Linked DNA regions of Macaca fascicularis. The protein of the gene in region 1 purifies or fractionates together with the protein of each later gene. This does not show direct contact. Links are inferred from orthologs where the notes say so. Each region holds a gene or a part of one and is shown in the gene's direction. Other genes may lie near its edges. The genes, in order: SETDB1, SUV39H1, ATF7IP and CHAF1A.

What was found.
Region 2: the proteins of SETDB1 (region 1) and SUV39H1 purify together in Homo sapiens (affinity purification with mass spectrometry; 3 studies listed by BioGRID and IntAct, counting the BioPlex papers as one, with this or other methods). This does not show direct contact. The link is inferred for Macaca fascicularis from reciprocal best matches to the Homo sapiens genes SETDB1 and SUV39H1.
Region 3: the proteins of SETDB1 (region 1) and ATF7IP purify together in Homo sapiens (affinity purification with mass spectrometry; 6 studies listed by BioGRID and IntAct, counting the BioPlex papers as one, with this or other methods). This does not show direct contact. The link is inferred for Macaca fascicularis from reciprocal best matches to the Homo sapiens genes SETDB1 and ATF7IP.
Region 4: the proteins of SETDB1 (region 1) and CHAF1A purify together in Homo sapiens (affinity purification with western blotting; 3 studies listed by BioGRID and IntAct, with this or other methods). This does not show direct contact. The link is inferred for Macaca fascicularis from reciprocal best matches to the Homo sapiens genes SETDB1 and CHAF1A.

The regions. Positions count from the first base shown.
Region 1 is NC_088375.1:110,314,530-110,318,749, reverse strand, and holds the start of SETDB1 (histone-lysine N-methyltransferase SETDB1), read left to right. Parts: upstream 1-1,369; 5' UTR 1,370-1,425; intron 1,426-1,448; exon of another isoform or gene 1,449-1,594; intron 1,595-1,714; exon of another isoform or gene 1,715-2,078; intron 2,079-2,783; 5' UTR 2,784-2,794; coding exon 2,795-3,054; intron 3,055-4,220. UniProt on the Homo sapiens protein: Histone methyltransferase that specifically trimethylates 'Lys-9' of histone H3. H3 'Lys-9' trimethylation represents a specific tag for epigenetic transcriptional repression by recruiting HP1 (CBX1, CBX3 and/or CBX5) proteins to methylated histones.
Region 2 is NC_088395.1:48,855,537-48,859,098, forward strand, and holds part of SUV39H1 (histone-lysine N-methyltransferase SUV39H1), read left to right. Parts: exon of another isoform or gene 1-257; coding exon 258-403; exon of another isoform or gene 404-1,432; coding exon 1,433-2,095; intron 2,096-3,562. UniProt on the Homo sapiens protein: Histone methyltransferase that specifically trimethylates 'Lys-9' of histone H3 using monomethylated H3 'Lys-9' as substrate. Also weakly methylates histone H1 (in vitro).
Region 3 is NC_088385.1:17,282,647-17,286,208, forward strand, and holds part of ATF7IP (activating transcription factor 7-interacting protein 1), read left to right. Parts: intron 1-1,300; coding exon 1,301-1,413; intron 1,414-2,733; coding exon 2,734-3,153; 3' UTR 3,154-3,562. UniProt on the Homo sapiens protein: Recruiter that couples transcriptional factors to general transcription apparatus and thereby modulates transcription regulation and chromatin formation. Can both act as an activator or a repressor depending on the context.
Region 4 is NC_088393.1:5,181,205-5,185,501, forward strand, and holds the end of CHAF1A (chromatin assembly factor 1 subunit A), read left to right. Parts: intron 1-2,645; coding exon 2,646-2,742; intron 2,743-3,274; coding exon 3,275-3,375; 3' UTR 3,376-3,758; downstream 3,759-4,297. UniProt on the Homo sapiens protein: Acts as a component of the histone chaperone complex chromatin assembly factor 1 (CAF-1), which assembles histone octamers onto DNA during replication and repair.

The DNA.
Region 1 (4,220 bases):
AAGGACTTGGGAGTTCTAGCTGCTTGGGCTCTGTTTCCAGCCTCACACACAAGGTTCTGGTTTGTACTTTTTAAATGAAAAATGTGTGTGTGTGTGTGTGTGTGTGTGTGTGTGTGTGTGTGTGTGTGTGTGTGTGTGTGTGTGTGTTTGAGACGGACTCTCAAAACGGAGTCTTGCTCGGTCACTCAGGCTGGAGTGCAGTGGCGCGATCTCCTTTCACTGAAGCCTCTGCCAGCAGGGCTCAGCGATCCTCCCGCCTCAGCTCCGTAGTTGCTGGGACCACAGGCGCGAACTACCACGCCTGACTTTTTTTATCTCGTATTTTTAGTTGAGATGGCGTTTCACCGTATTGCCCAGGCCGGTTTGGAACTCCTGGGCTCTAGCAATCCTCCCGCCTCGGCCTCTCAAAATGTTGGGATTACAGGCGTGAGCTACAGCGCCCGGCTTGGGGAATCTTTTCTACAGAAATAAAAGTACTACTTCAAAAGGATGTTTATTTTTATTGTTGCGCTATTTGTCGGGGCTGAGAACGGAAAACAATCTAAACAAATATGGTTTAACCTTATTATTCAGGTGTCAAAAATACAAGTTATTGTTGTTGTTTTTTGTTTGTTTGTTTTTGAGATGGAGTCTCGTTCTATGGCCCAGGCTGGAGTGCAGTGGCGCGATCCCCGCTCACCGAAAGCTCTGCCTCCCGGGTTCATGCCATTCTCCTGCCTCAGCCTCCCGAGTACCTGGGACTACAGGCGCCCACCACCCGGCTAATTTTGTGTGTGTGTGTATTTTTAGTAGAGACGGGGTTTCAACGTGTTAGCCAGGATGGTCTTGATCTCCTGACCTCGTGATCCGCCGCCTTGGCCTCCCAAAGTGCTGGGATGACAGGTGTGAGCCACCGCGCCCGGCCAAAAATACAAATTTTACCTTTTTTATTGGCTTCAGGTAATGTCCACATGTTAAATGAAAACAAAAATCTATATACAGGAACGTGTGCACACAAGACTAGAAAATTAAGCTGTATTACCTGAAAGGAGCGGGGTGGTAAGTGATGGGGCAAGAGAGAATTTTATCACGTTTTTCTTATTACATTTTGATAGCCTTTACAATTTGTATCACTTATGTAACAAAACAAACTCAAGTAAAACTGAAAGAATAAAGCTCTGAACCTATGAGTGCTTCCCTCAGTCTTTACACTATGAATGTAGTAATGTGGCCACTAGTCGAGGGTGGTAGGACAGGCGGAGACTCGGTAATATACTCCTGGCCACGCCCACTCTGCCCTGCCAGTCGCTTCTCACGTGTGTCCCTGGAAGGCTCTGCCTTAACGCATGCGTAGTTACCTTAGTTTCGTCGCCTCTGAGGGGCGCCCCGCGACTTTGGATTTGACCCCATCAGGCTACCGTCGCGGTGACCGGAACGGCACTAAAGGTTTGCTTCCGGGCGTTTCTTTTGCTTCCCCTTCCCTCCTTCATGCTTTCTCCCCTCCCCCTCCTCCCTTATCCCTTCGCTTTCGCTCTTTTCCGTCGAGGCTGACCCATGAGTTGTGAGTCTGGGGTCTGGTTGGTGAAAAAGAGCCCTTAAAGCTGGAAGACGGGAGGTGTGGGGAATACTGTTAATTGAGTTATTTGGTGACCAAAGGCTTATCTGGGATGTTTTGTTTGTGGGAGGGGGTCGGGCGAGGGTGGGAAGGAAGTCTTCCCCAGAGGCGAACGGGGGCGGGGCTGAACTGGGTTTGCGAATGGGTAGGACGCACCCCTAGAATAGGTAGCACGGGAGTGGGCTGGTGTGTGGGCAAAGGAAAATGGAGGCGTTGAAAATCAGGTTTGCTTTAACCGTTTGATTGAAAAAGCAGTTCACACGAATGTGTGAAGTATTTTGGTTGTGGATGTTAGGTAGCCACGTTTTATTCCCAGCTTGCTTTACTTCTCTGTACTTTGGGGGAAACCTTTTTGCTGCGAGCTTTGAATATCATAGACTTTTTAAAAAGTAAATTTCCACATGGAAGCAAAGTAATGTAAGGGGAAGAAGTGATGAAAGAGAAAACACTGAATTAGTGAGTTACAAGTCAACTCCATCCCCAGGTAGAAGTTTTGTTCAAATTAGGCATAGCATACAAAGATTTATCACATAATCTTTAAGTTAAGGAACACGTATAGACCACAAAAATATCTTCTCCTGGATTAGTTCTCTTCGGTATCCCAAAGCATTATTTTTAAAGTTCGGTTTGTTTTGAGACAGGGTCTCGCTTTGTCACCCAAGCTGGAATGCATAGGGCAAACATAGCTCACTACAGCAGCCTCTCCTGGGCTCAAGCGATCCTCCCACCTCAGCCTCCTGAGTAGCTGGGACTAAAGGCATGCACCACCACACCTGGCTAATTTTTGTATTTTTTTTGTAAAGACGAGTCTTGCCATGTTGCCCAGGCTGGTCTTGAACTCCTGCCCTCAAGCGACCTTCCTGTCTTGGCCTCTAAAAGTGCTGAGATTACAGATGTAAGCCACTGTGGTAGCCCAAAACATTATTTTCAGTAGCTCCCTACTGCTTAATGAATGTTCTCCATGCCCTCTCAAACTTTTAAAGCTTTTTCAGGCCTGTTAGTGTGTAGTAGAAGATAAGAACTCTTAAAAATCTCAGCATCAGATTCTGGAGAATGGGGAAGAAGAACATGGACTATTTGAATAGAATAACAGGCAGCAGAACAGGAATTAGTTTTATTAGGGAACTGAAATTCTCTATTGATTATAGTTATAAGGACTCCCGTTTAATTTGTTTTCTGTTCCATGCAGAGGACAAAAGCATGTCTTCCCTTCCTGGGTGCATTGGTTTGGATGCAGCAACAGCTACAGTGGAGTCTGAAGAGATAGCAGAGCTGCAACAGGCAGTGGTTGAGGAACTGGGTATCTCTATGGAGGAACTTCGGCATTTCATCGATGAGGAACTGGAGAAGATGGATTGTGTACAGCAGCGCAAGAAGCAGCTAGCAGAGTTAGAGACATGGGTAATACAGAAAGAATCTGAGGTGGCTCACGTTGACCAGCTATTTGATGATGCATCCAGGTGAGAACTCCATGGAAAATAGAGGGAAATCTCTCCATTGGGAGATATTTTTAGAGAATAATTGTTCATGACCTTGTACCAAGCATTTTATTTTATTTTTTGAGACGGAGTCTCGCTCTGTCACCCAGGCTGGAGTGCAGTGGAGTGGTCCCAGCTCACTACAACCTCAACCTCTCAGGTTCAAGTGATTCTCCCGCCTCACCCTCCCAAGTAGCTGGGATTACAGGCATCCGCTACCACGCCCAGCTAATTTTTTATATTTTTAGTAGAGACAGGGTTTCACCATGTTGGCCGGGCTGTGTACCAAGAATTTTATACTTTATGAAGTACACATATTTAGAACCTTACTCTTCCTCGAAGTTTATGGTAAAAAATCTGACCTTACAGTCAGCCATAAATATAATTTTCATCTGTCAGCAGCTAACATAAGGGAGTCCAAGTCTTTTTTTTTTTTTTTTTTTTTTTTTTGAGACGGAGTCTCGCTCTGTCGCCCAGGCTGGAGTGCAGTGGCCGGATCTCAGCTCACTGCAAGCTCCGCCTCCCGCGTTCACGCCATTCTCCTGCCTCAGCCTCCTGAGTAGCTGGGACTACAGGCGCCGCCACCACGCCCGGCTAGTTTTTTGTATTTTTTAGCAGAGACGGGGTTTCACCGTGTTAACCAAGATGGTCTCGATCTCCTGACCTCGTGATTCGCCCGCCTCGGCCTCCCAAAGTGCTGGGATTACAGGCTTGAGCCACCGCGCCCGGCCTGGGAGTCCAAGTCTTAAGTCCTTTCCCCTTCTTCCTCCTGTGCTCTGTCTTAGAACAATTGCTTCATTTCCCTAGTAAGATCATCCAGGGAGTGAGGATTGTACAGAATTTCTGTCTTACGTAACTCCGAAGCATTAATCAGTTCCTATACCCCCCAAAAGATTTGTTTCTAGTGCTCCAGTTGTCACTTAGAATACATTTTTAAAAATTTATTATTATACTTTAAGTTCTAGGGTACATGTGCACAGCCTGCAGGTTTGTTACATATGTATACATGTGCCATGTTGGTGTGCTGCACCCATTAACTCATCATTGACATTAGGTATATCTCCTAATGCTATCCCTTCCCCCTCCCCCAACCGCACAACAGGCCCTGGTATGTGATGTTCCCCATCCTGTGTCCAAGTGTTCTCATT
Region 2 (3,562 bases), on another chromosome or scaffold:
GATTCCTTTAGGACGATTCATGTTGCAAACCCCCCTCAGAGGTCTGCTGCTCCAGGGGCAGCCTTGGGCAGTGAGCATTGGGGTTCAAAGCACATTTCTGTTGTAGAACAGTCTCAGCATTGGGGAAGGCCTGTGGATTAAAGTTCCCTGACTCTTAGGCAGTCTTTGGGATGTCCCAGGGAGGATTTGGGGTCCCCTTTGACACCTGGCCTTGTCAGACTGCCCAGTAATAGTTCTTTCTGCCCTGCTTGATCCAGGCTGCAGCGTGTGTTGCAAGTCTTCTTGGAATCAGCTGCAGGACCTGTGCCGCCTGGCCAAGCTCTCCTGCCCTGCCCTCGGTATCTCTAAGAGGAACCTCTATGACTTTGAAGTCGAGTACCTGTGCGATTACAAGAAGATCCGCGTGAGTCTGGGGTGACCATGCTCTGGGAGGGGACAGGTCACAAGGAAGTTAAGTGTCCTGCCCTCTTGTCCCCAACTGCCCACATCTGTTTGCAAAGGGAATTTTCTCCTCTGACCCTGGAAAAATAGGATGAACAGACCCTTTTATCCCTATGTTACAGATAGGGAAACTAAGTAGCTTTCTGATGGGGGCAGGAGCCGGAATGAATTCTCTTCCCATCTCCCTAGGAATACAAAGTAACTGCAAAGGTTGAGATGCTGAACCCTAGAGTGGAAATGTCAACAGCTAACGGCTATTGAGCACTTTCAGTGTGCCAGGTGCTTCCTCTAGGAAACTCATTTAATCCCCTAACAACTGTGAAATGGGGACAGTTATTGCCAGAAGGGGGAGTGGCAGGATGGTTAGGAGAACAAACTGGAGTCAGCATGCTTGGGTTCCAGTCCTGGTGTGTTTACCTACCCAAACCCTCAGTACTTCATTTCCTTTGTCATAAAAGGGGGATGACTAGGAGCATCCACCTCATGTCGGGTTGTGAGGATTAAGTTAGTTAATAATACATGTAAGCTGCCTAAAACAGGCAAGGACTTGTCAGGGTCCAGGTGAGCCATAGTGGTGGCAGTGATGATGGTTTGTCACTGGATGTATTTTGAAGGTGGGGCTAACGGGATGTGCGGAGGGTGGATGTCGGAAGTGTGAACAAAAGAGGATTCAAGGATGACTCCAGGAGTTCCGGTCTGAACAGCTAGAAGGAGGGAGCTGATGATGGGGAAGACCAAGGAGGGGAGTGGGTTTGGGAGATTAATTAAAAGTTGGAACAGTCTGGACAGACAGTAAGGGGGAGAGCAGGATTTGAACCTGGTAATCCTCACGCTAGAGCCCATGCTTTTTAACCACCGCATGAAGTCATTCCAGAAAAGGGGTGGGGTGGGTTAGGTGTTATCCATCAGCTTTGGCATGGAAGCCCCATGAAGGCTGGCCCAAAGATCTCACCACTTATGGTACCACCGTTCCCCTACCCACCCCCAACAGGAACAGGAATATTACCTGGTGAAATGGCGCGGATATCCAGACTCAGAGAGCACCTGGGAGCCACGGCAGAATCTCAAGTGTGTGCGTATTCTCAAGCAGTTCCACAAGGACTTAGAGAGGGAGCTGCTCCGGCGGCACCACCGGTCAAAGACCCCCCGGCACCTGGACCCAAGCTTGGCCAACTACCTGGTGCAGAAGGCCAAGCAGAGGCGGGCGCTCCGTCGCTGGGAGCAGGAGCTCAATGCCAAGCGCAGCCATCTGGGACGCATCACTGTAGAGAATGAGGTGGACCTGGACGGCCCCCCGCGGGCCTTCGTGTACATCAATGAGTACCGTGTTGGTGAGGGCATCACCCTCAACCAGGTGGCTGTGGGCTGCGAGTGCCAGGACTGTCTGTGGGCACCCACTGGAGGCTGCTGCCCGGGGGCATCACTGCACAAGTTTGCCTACAATGACCAGGGCCAGGTGCGGCTTCGAGCCGGGCTGCCCATCTACGAGTGCAACTCCCGCTGCCGCTGTGGCTATGACTGCCCGAATCGCGTGGTACAGAAAGGCATCCGATATGACCTCTGCATCTTCCGCACGGATGATGGGCGTGGCTGGGGCGTCCGCACCCTGGAGAAGATTCGCAAGAACAGCTTCGTCATGGAGTACGTGGGAGAGGTAGGGAGATGGGACCAGTGTGTGTGTGCAGCTCTTCCCACCCTGTGTTCACAGTGTGCACCCAGCTCTCCTCACTGTGTGTCTGCAACTCCCTGCTTTCCCTGTGGGAAAGGCCTGGTACACTGATCTAAGAGTGTCATAGGGACATCGGGCAGGGACAAGTATTCCATGCTGGTGGTTACAGAAACACCGAAATACTTCTGCACTGGGTTGACTTTATCAGGGTACTTAGCGAAGAAGAAAAGTGGGAGCTGAGATCCAGGCAGCCTTAGCATTCCTTGTATCAGGCCATGTGGTCTGGCATAGGGCTGCATCAGCTGGAAAGGCACTTCCTCTTCTCATTTCACAAGGGCCCATCTTATCACCAAGCAGTATCTGCCTGAGAAGCATTGTTTTACCAGTCTGCACAGAAGGAACGCAGTCTGGAGTAGGATGAGACATGCTTTGGACAAAGGTTGGCTAACTCCTTTAGACTTTCAGGACACTGGGGAAAGCTGAGTGTACTAGGCAAGCCAGCCATTGTAAAAACAACTCCCTCATCTTAGTGACTTTGCACATTACAAGTTTGCTTGCTTATGGAACAGTCCACTGTGGGGGTTTGGGTGGGTATCCTTTCACACAGCGACTGGGATACCGAGGCTCTTTCCCTCCTGTGCCTTTGCTGTGTCTTGAAGCCTTGGAGTCACCACTAGATCATCAGCATTGCCTAGCAGGCGGGCCAAGTCGGGGATAGAAGGGGCCCATCCTAGTGGGCCAGGCCTAGATGCAGCACCCATCACTTCTGCTCATGCTCCACTGGCTGGAACTGAGTCACTGGCCTTACCTCCGTGCAAGGGAGGCAACGGGATGTGCTTTAGCCATGTGCCCAGCTGCACAAGGCTAAAGCACAGCCATAACTAGCAAGTAGATAACAAGTATCTACAACAGAAAAATGTCACATTCTAAGATGGGATGCAGTTAGCATTTGGGATGAGATGAATTTTTGTTATGGAGAACTGTCTCATGCATTGGGGGACATTTAGCATTCCTGGACCTTTACCATTTAAATCCATGAGTGTGCCCTGTCATAGTGACAACCCCAGATACCTGTATATATTTCCATAGGTCCCTTAGGGGTGTGATATGGTTGGAAAGTGACAGAAACTGGCCTGAGGAACACTCACATGAGGGTGTCCACACTGTAGCACTGATACTGATGACAAGGAGAGGCTCCTGCTCTGAGAAACTGTAAAGTAGAGAGGGTCACACCCCACAGGGACAGAGACAATCTTGGGCAGAACAATCTATACCACAGAGGACCCTGACAGTCTGGGCAAGGAGACAGCCACACCCTGTCCAGATAACCCTGCTGGCCTGCTGGAGGAGATGTCCACATGCCACAGGACCTGGCCATCTAGAAGGAGGAGTGGGGAGGTGTCCACACCCTGAGGGCTCCTGACAGTGGGAGCAGGAGGGAGTCCTGATAAT
Region 3 (3,562 bases), on another chromosome or scaffold:
TGTCTCAGAAAAAAAAAAAAAAAAAGAAAAAGCAAGATCCCACAATAGGTTGTCTGCAAGCTGAGGAGCAAGGAAAGCCAGTCCAAGTCCCAAAACTGAAGAACTTGGAGGCCAGTGTTCCAGGGCAGGAAGCATCCAGCACAGGAAAAAGATGTAGACTGGGAGGCTAAGGCTCAGCCAGTCTCTCCTTTTCACGTTTTTCTGCCTGCTTTATATTTTCTGGCAGCTGATTAGATTGCGCCCACCAAATGAAGGGTGGATCTGCCTTCCCCAGTTCACAGACTCTAATGTTAGTATCTTTTGGCAACATCCTCACAGACCCACCCAGGGTTAACACTTTGTGTCCTTCAATCAAGTTGACACTCAGTTTTAACCATCACACATATGTAGTAGTTTTGCAAAATGTGATAGCAAGGAAAAATATAGCTGTTTAAAGAAACAGTAATGCTGTCATTAGAAAATAAACTGATTGGAGTCTCTGGATCATAGTTTGGCTTCAACTCTCTCAAGTTTACAAGAGCATTATCTGGGAAAATTAGTCAACAAGTTTGGAAATGAGTTCTGGGAAACTTGGCTCACTATCGTCCAGGCACCAGGCCAAACTATGGCATGGGCCAGGTACTGAATAAATGGCAGGAGTATGGTCAGGGCAGTAGGTAGCTCTGAATTTTCTATTTTTGTTTCCTTGGTGTATGTCACAGCAGTTTTCTGTGGGGTGAAATGAGTATCCTGAACCAAGGAGCTAGGCATGGAGAAAATGAGAGGAACTTCATTAGTACATGGCAAGGATGACTTATTCTGGCTTTCTGTCCTGGTTGAAAAGATGAGACTGCAGAGCTTTTTATGAAGATACTCCCAATTTGTCTATCTTTTGAGTCACACTGCTCCATTATGGCCATTTACCTTTTACATGCGGTACACAACCAGTGTTCTAGGATTTTTGTTCATAGTTCTCCTGGTAAGGATCCTTTTATTTCTCCCTGTGCTGGACCTCCTGTTGCTTGTGTCTCATATTTTTCTCTTTATTTTCTCACATATTAGTGGCACATATTCTCCAGTGACTATTGAGAGAAGGTTTGTGGTAGTTAGAATTTTTTTTTAGTGCTTGCACATAAGAAAGTTTTTTTATCCACAGGCTGGTTGATAGCTTGGCTGAATACGAATAGGACCTCTAAGTTAGAAATATCTTTCCTTTCAAATCTTGAAAACATTGCTTCACTGACTTCAAATATTTAATGTTTTCCACCAAATTTACAATAGAATTATTTTATCTTGTAATTTTTTTTTTTTTTTTTTGTAGGTGTTACAGTTCGAGTGCCTCAAACAACCACGTATGTTGTAAACAATGGACTAACCCTGGGATCCACAGGACCTCAGCTCACAGTGCATCACCGACCACCACAAGTGCATACTGTAAGTGTTGATGCTTGGTTTTGTAAAATTCTCAACTGTAAAGGTATAAAATATTATTGTAGTTGGCATTTTTCTTTAAAGTGGTTATATCCAAGGGAATTGTTAGGTCTTTCTGCTTTTTCAGAAGTTTATTTCTAAAAATTGATCTTAAACCATTATGAACAAATGTTCATAGGGATGATGATCATTTAGAATCATTGAGTTTGCTTGTGGTGTACAGTATACAAAAACAGGTCCACAGTTGGGGTATATGAAGTGAAATACAGACCATTTCTAATTCATAGTTAAATTAAAAAGGACGTTTTTCCATGTGTTAATTTTATTCTTTTGTTTTAAACTATGCCACGTCTAACTGCTACATTGTCATCAATTGTTTTAAAGAATCCAATGATATTGGGAATTCATTAGTTAAGAGGCAGCAGAGATAACCAAAGATTTCTCCTTAGATTTAGCCTCCAAAACAATGTCACATTATCCTGTGACACAATTTTGTCAGTGTTTGACTGGTATGAAATATCATCATAATGACGATGATGTTCCAGTGTTAGAAAAGTCAATAGGACTCCTAAAGTTAGAGTCACGTTTTTTTCATCATCTGGCCTTAACCTACCTTTCCAGATTTTTCTTCATGTACCCTATATCCAAGAAAAAGTTAATACTTGTTGTCCATACGTCCCCTCACTTTCCTGTCCACATGCCTTTGCTCATGCTTTATTTTTGGCTAAAAGGTACATGATTATTTCTGCATCTCTAGATCCTATCTTTCACAGTTCAGTTTAAATATCACCTTTTTTTTGTAAATTGGCCAAGAATATAGTACACATTCAGTGTTAATACGCTTATTTATAAGAATATGCTGTTGTCTTATATTGCAAAATAACTTAAAAATGAAAGTATAGTTGTATTCTCCAATTTTATATGATCTTGATTGCCATACATGATATTTTAAAATGTTATACTGAAGTGATAATCTGTAACATAGATAATTCAATCATAAATTATTTTGTTAGAAGTAGATCATTATTTCCGTGTTCCTCAAAATGATGTTCCATCAGCAGGGGCTTTTTATTTCCTAAGAAAAACTCAAAATATTTTAGGTCTAGGAAATAGAGCAGGAATAACCTCAGCATCATTGTTTGTGGCATCATTCATTACAAAACCCCAAATAGAACTTGCCAAATTTGATATGGTGTTTGGTATTTCCTAGAATTCTTGATGTAAAATGGTATCTCTATGTATGTTCTCTAAGGTGTTTTAATCCTAACATTCTAAAATGTTCTTTTTGCGATCATTATAAATCAGTGTGACTTGTTTTTTTAGGAGCCGCCACGCCCTGTGCACCCAGCACCCTTACCAGAAGCTCCACAACCACAGCGTGTGCCCCCAGAAGCTGCCAGCACATCTCTGCCTCAGAAGCCACACTTGAAGTTAGCACGAGTTCAGAGTCAAAATGGCATAGTACTGTCATGGAGTGTCCTGGAGGTGGATCGAAGCTGTGCCACTGTTGATAGCTACCATCTCTATGCTTACCATGAGGAACCTAGTGCCACCGTGCCCTCACAATGGAAAAAGATAGGGGAAGTCAAGGCACTTCCCTTGCCCATGGCATGTACTCTCACCCAGTTTGTATCTGGTAGCAAATACTACTTTGCAGTACGAGCCAAGGATATTTATGGACGTTTTGGGCCTTTCTGTGATCCTCAGTCAACAGATGTGATCTCTTCCACCCAGAGCAGTTAAACCTTGGAGCCTTTATATTTTCCTCTTTTAAAATTTCCACCTTTTGGTCTTGTTTTTAATCTTGTGCATGATACCCCATGTAAAATCCACCTTGTGCAAGATTTCTTGGACAGATGTGTGTATACACTACATTTGTTTATAAACAGAAGCAAAATAAACTCAGCCCACAAAGCTAGAATCTTTTCCTGGACAGTTTAGGCTTTGGGGTTTGGAAATGTAAATGTGTACCTTGCTTTAGTTTTGAGGCTGGGGAATATGTGTGGGTGTTTATGTGTGTTTTTCCCTATGTATGTGTTACTGCATTGGAGTCTCCCATTTTTATTCTCAAATTTACCTCTTAAAGTACGAAGTAGTAGATCAAAGGATCTGAGATGTGTAACTGGCATGACTCTGCTTTTAAAGGATCTGT
Region 4 (4,297 bases), on another chromosome or scaffold:
TGTGGAGCAAGGGCCCAGTGACTTGAGGTGGCTCTGAAGAAATTGGCGTGTTCCTGTTGTTTAATGTCCCCAGACACCTCCAAATCAGAATGTCCCTCAGCAGAGTCTACAGGGGACTCTTAGACTCTTCTTTGCTTAACTCTTCTTTCAAAAAGGTAGTTGAAAATGGCCATAGGCCAGGCTCCGTGGCTCATGCCTGTAATCCCAGCACTTTGGGAGGCTGTGGCAGGAGGATCACTTGAGGCCAGGAGTTCGAAGGTGTAGTTACCTATGATTGCACCACTGCACCCCAGCCTGGGTGACAAAGCAGGACTGTTTCTCCTATGTCCTCACAGGGTCAACCCATGCTGCCTGGGGAGAGGGACAGCCTGGGCTCCCAGCCACTGAAGAGGATCCAGGAGGGGAGCCCCTACCCAGGCATTGATGGGGCTACGATAGGAACCCAGTATGCCTGGCCAGGCGCTGTGCTCTTACGTGACAGCCCACGAAACCAGCCTACTGCCTGGCCGTTGTGTTGCTGTGCGGTCACTTTTCTAGGCGAATGGAGGTTTTTGTAGAGGAAGACTTCCTGGAGTGTTTTGAGGACGAGCCTCCCTGCTGAAATAAGTGTGGCTCTGTGTCCTAGGAGGGGCTTGTGTTCATGCACGGAGGGTCAGCACTGATGCAGAGGCTCGTGGTGGCCTCCATGCATCCTGTCTTTCTCCTTTGGGGAAAGCAAATGGAAACGGCTCAGGAATTTCACTAGGGCCAGGTGCGGTGGCTCACCTGTCATCCCAGCACTTTGGGAGGCTGAGGTGGGAGGATGGCTTGAGCCCAGGAGGTCGAGACCAGCCTGGGCAACATAGTGACACCCCCTTGTCTCTACTTAAAAAAAAAAAAAAAGGCCAGGCGCAGTGACTCACGCCTGTAATCCCAGCACTTTGGGTGGCCGAGGCAGGCGGATCACAAGGTCAGGAGATCGAGACCATCCTGACTAACATGGTGAAACCCTGTCTCTAATAAAAATACAAAAAAATTAGCCAAGCGTGGTGGCGGGTGCCTGTAGTCCCAGCTACTCAGGAGGCTGAGGCAGGAGAATGGCGTGAACCTGGGAGGCGGAGCTTGCAGTGAGCCAAGATCTGGCCACCGCACTCCAGCCTGGGCGACAGCGAGACTCCACTTCAAAAAAAAAAAAAAGGCCGGGCGCGGTGGCTCACGCTTGTAATACCAGCACTTTGGGAGGCCAAGGCAGGTGGATCACGAGGTCAGGAGATCGAGACCATCCTGGTTAACATGGTGAAACCCCGTCTCTCCTAAAAAGTACAAAATAGCCGGGCGTGATGGTGGGCGCTTGTAGTCCCTGCTACTCGGGAGGCTGAGGCAGGAGAATGGCGTGAACCCGGGAGGTGGAGCTTGCAGCGAGCCAAGATCGCACCACTGCACTCCAGCCCAGGCAACAGAGTGAAGAGTCCATCTAAAAAAAAGTAATCACAAGTCACAGTCATCGCTTCACGTCAGGGATGTGTTTTGAGAGGTGTCCTCAAGCAATTTCATGGTTGTGCTGATGGGCTAGGTTGCTTTTACATACCCTAGATGGACAGCCTGCCACACGCCTGGGCCATGTGGTACATAGCCCAGGGCTCCTGGGCTGTGGACCTGTGCAGCAGGTGACTGACTGACTGCTCAACCCTGTAGGCACTTGCAACCCAGTGGTATTTGTGTCTCTAACATAGAAAAGGCACAGCAAAGGCCAGGCACGGTGGCTCACGCCTGTAATCCTAGCACTTTGAGAGGCCGACATGGGCGAATCCCAAGGTCAGGAGTTCGAGACCAGCCTGGCCGACATGGTGAAACCCCGTCTCGACTAAAAATACAAAAAATTAGCTGTCCATGGTGGCGGGCACCTGTAATCCCAGCTACTCGGGAGGCTGAGGCAGGAGAATTGCTTGAACCTGGGAGTCGGAGGTTGCAGTGAGCCAAGATAGCACCACTGCAGTCCAGCCTGGACGATAGGGCAAGACTCTGTCTCAAAATATATACATACCAAATAAGTAAATATACAGTTGTCTGTAATCCCAGCACTTTGGGAGGCCGGGGCGGGCAGATCATAAGGTCAGGAATTTGAGACCAGCCTGACCAACATGGTGAAACCCCGTCTCTACTAAAAATACAAAAATTAGCCTGGCGTGGTGGCGTACACCTGTAATCCCAGCTACTCAGGAGGCTGAAGAATGAGAATCACTTGAACCCAGGAGGTGGAGGTCACAGTGAGCTGAGATTGTGCCACTGTACTCCAGCCTGGGTGACAAGAGTGAGACTCTATCTCAAAAATCAAAAATAAAAATAAATACAGTTGTAATCTGATGGGACCACTATCAGGTATGTGGCCTGTCACCGACGAGATTATTCTGTAGACGGCAATGATGGCCATTTGTGGAGATATGAATCCAGTTCATTTGAGGGAACCCCCAAGGTTCTCTGGTTGTGGCCTCTCGAATAAACCTCACATTTGGACAGTTTGTTACCAAATTGGGTTCTGGATGTTGGGTTCCCTTCAGTGTTGGGGGTGGGAGGGAGGGGTCACACCCGCAGAGGCCCCCCACCCCCGCCAGCACCAGTGTGGCTGCCACCTGTAATGCTGATGGCCATGCACCTTGTCTTTCCAGGTTGGTGCTGAGGACATGGACGGCTTCCAGGCAGACACAGAGGAGGAGGAAGAGGAGGAGGGCGAGTGTATGATCGTGGATGTCCCGGACGCTGCGGGTGAGAAGGGCTCTAGATAGCAGAACGCACTGGTGAGGGGTGGGGGAGGTAAACCTCAACAGGGAAGGGATGGCGCCGCCTAAGACTCGCTCCATTGTGAGCTGCCAGGAGGGTTTGCAGCTGGAAGTGGCTCCTACCCTGCCATGTCCTCTGCCACTTGGGCAGAGCCACAAGGGCCTGTGCTGGGAGTCTCAGGTGGCGGGACGTTAGATGGGGGTCAGGGAAGACTGCACTGAGGCGGCAAGGGAGGGCCAGGTGGATTTCTGGAGGACTCCCCAAAGAGGAAGTGCAGAGGCCTTGCAGCAGGCTGTGCGGGAGGAGTGTGCCTAGGTGGTGGGGGGCAGGGTCAGCCTGAGAGCAGGTGAGCAGGTCACCTCTAGAAGGGGCACAATGCCCCAGCTTCCGCCTGCCCCCACTGTCAGGTGAAGGGTTCCGCCCTGGGGCCGTTGCAGGCCCCATGAGGCAACAGGTCCTCCCCCAGGGAGCCCAGCAGGCACAGCCAGCTCAAGACCTTCCCTTTCTTGCCCTGCAGAGGTCCAAGCCCCGTGTGGAGCCACTTCCGGAGCTGGGGGTGGTGTGGGGGTGGACACCAGCAAGGCCGCCCTGCCTGCGAGCCCACTGGGCGCGTCGTGAGAGCAGTGGTGACGTACGTAGAACGCTTAGGGTGTCCTCCCCACGGAGCAGATACTTGAACCGACTCGATTCCTGTGTAAAGAGCACTTTGTCCTGCTTCACGGACCTCCCCAAGGTGTGCAGAGTTCTATATAGGATGCTGGATTAGTTCCTTTGATATTTGTAAAAATTCCCCCAAGAGCTGCGTATGAATCTGCCCTTTAATAAAGCATTATTGAGATTGCTGGCCTATCGAGGAAGCCTGCGGGCACAGGAGCAGGCGTGGAATCCAGTACTTGTAAATGAATTGAAGAGCCAGGACCACCCACCTGGCCATGTGCACGGGCCCCGTGTATAAACGAGGCAGTGTGTAAAGAGGCAGTGTATAAACTTATTCTCTAGCACTGAGCTGCTCTGTCTTTTCTGACAACATCGTGTTTCTCTCCGAGTGCGTCGTGTCTGGGGCCAGCCTTGTGCCCTGCAACAGCGCTGTCCCATCTGTTTGACACTAAGTCATCCTCATACCAGGCTGACCTGGGTCAAGGTGCAGGTTTTCCGCATGTGCTTCTGTCCAGCGATCCCTCCTGCCCTGGGTTGGGGGGTTAGGAGGGGGTGTTCCCGGGGACCTGCTGGGGTCTCCTTCCTCAAACCAGAGCTGCTGGGAGCTGAGTTTGGCTTGGAGTCTGAGACTTCGTGAGAGCCCACCCCTAGGTCGGGTGCATCTTTTGTGAGTGCTGGAGCTAGGAGGTGACCTCCTCCCTGCCCCACGTTGAGTGGGCTTTATCCCCACTGTCCCCGAGGGAGGACTCTGTGGTGCTGAGCAGTTCAGAGCACACGCAGCCACGGGGAGGGTCACACTCGCCAGCCCTGCTCCTGGACACACCCCACCTGAAATCTAAGCTTCCCTTCAGGGAACCCCATGTGGGAAAAGTGTCAGCTACCT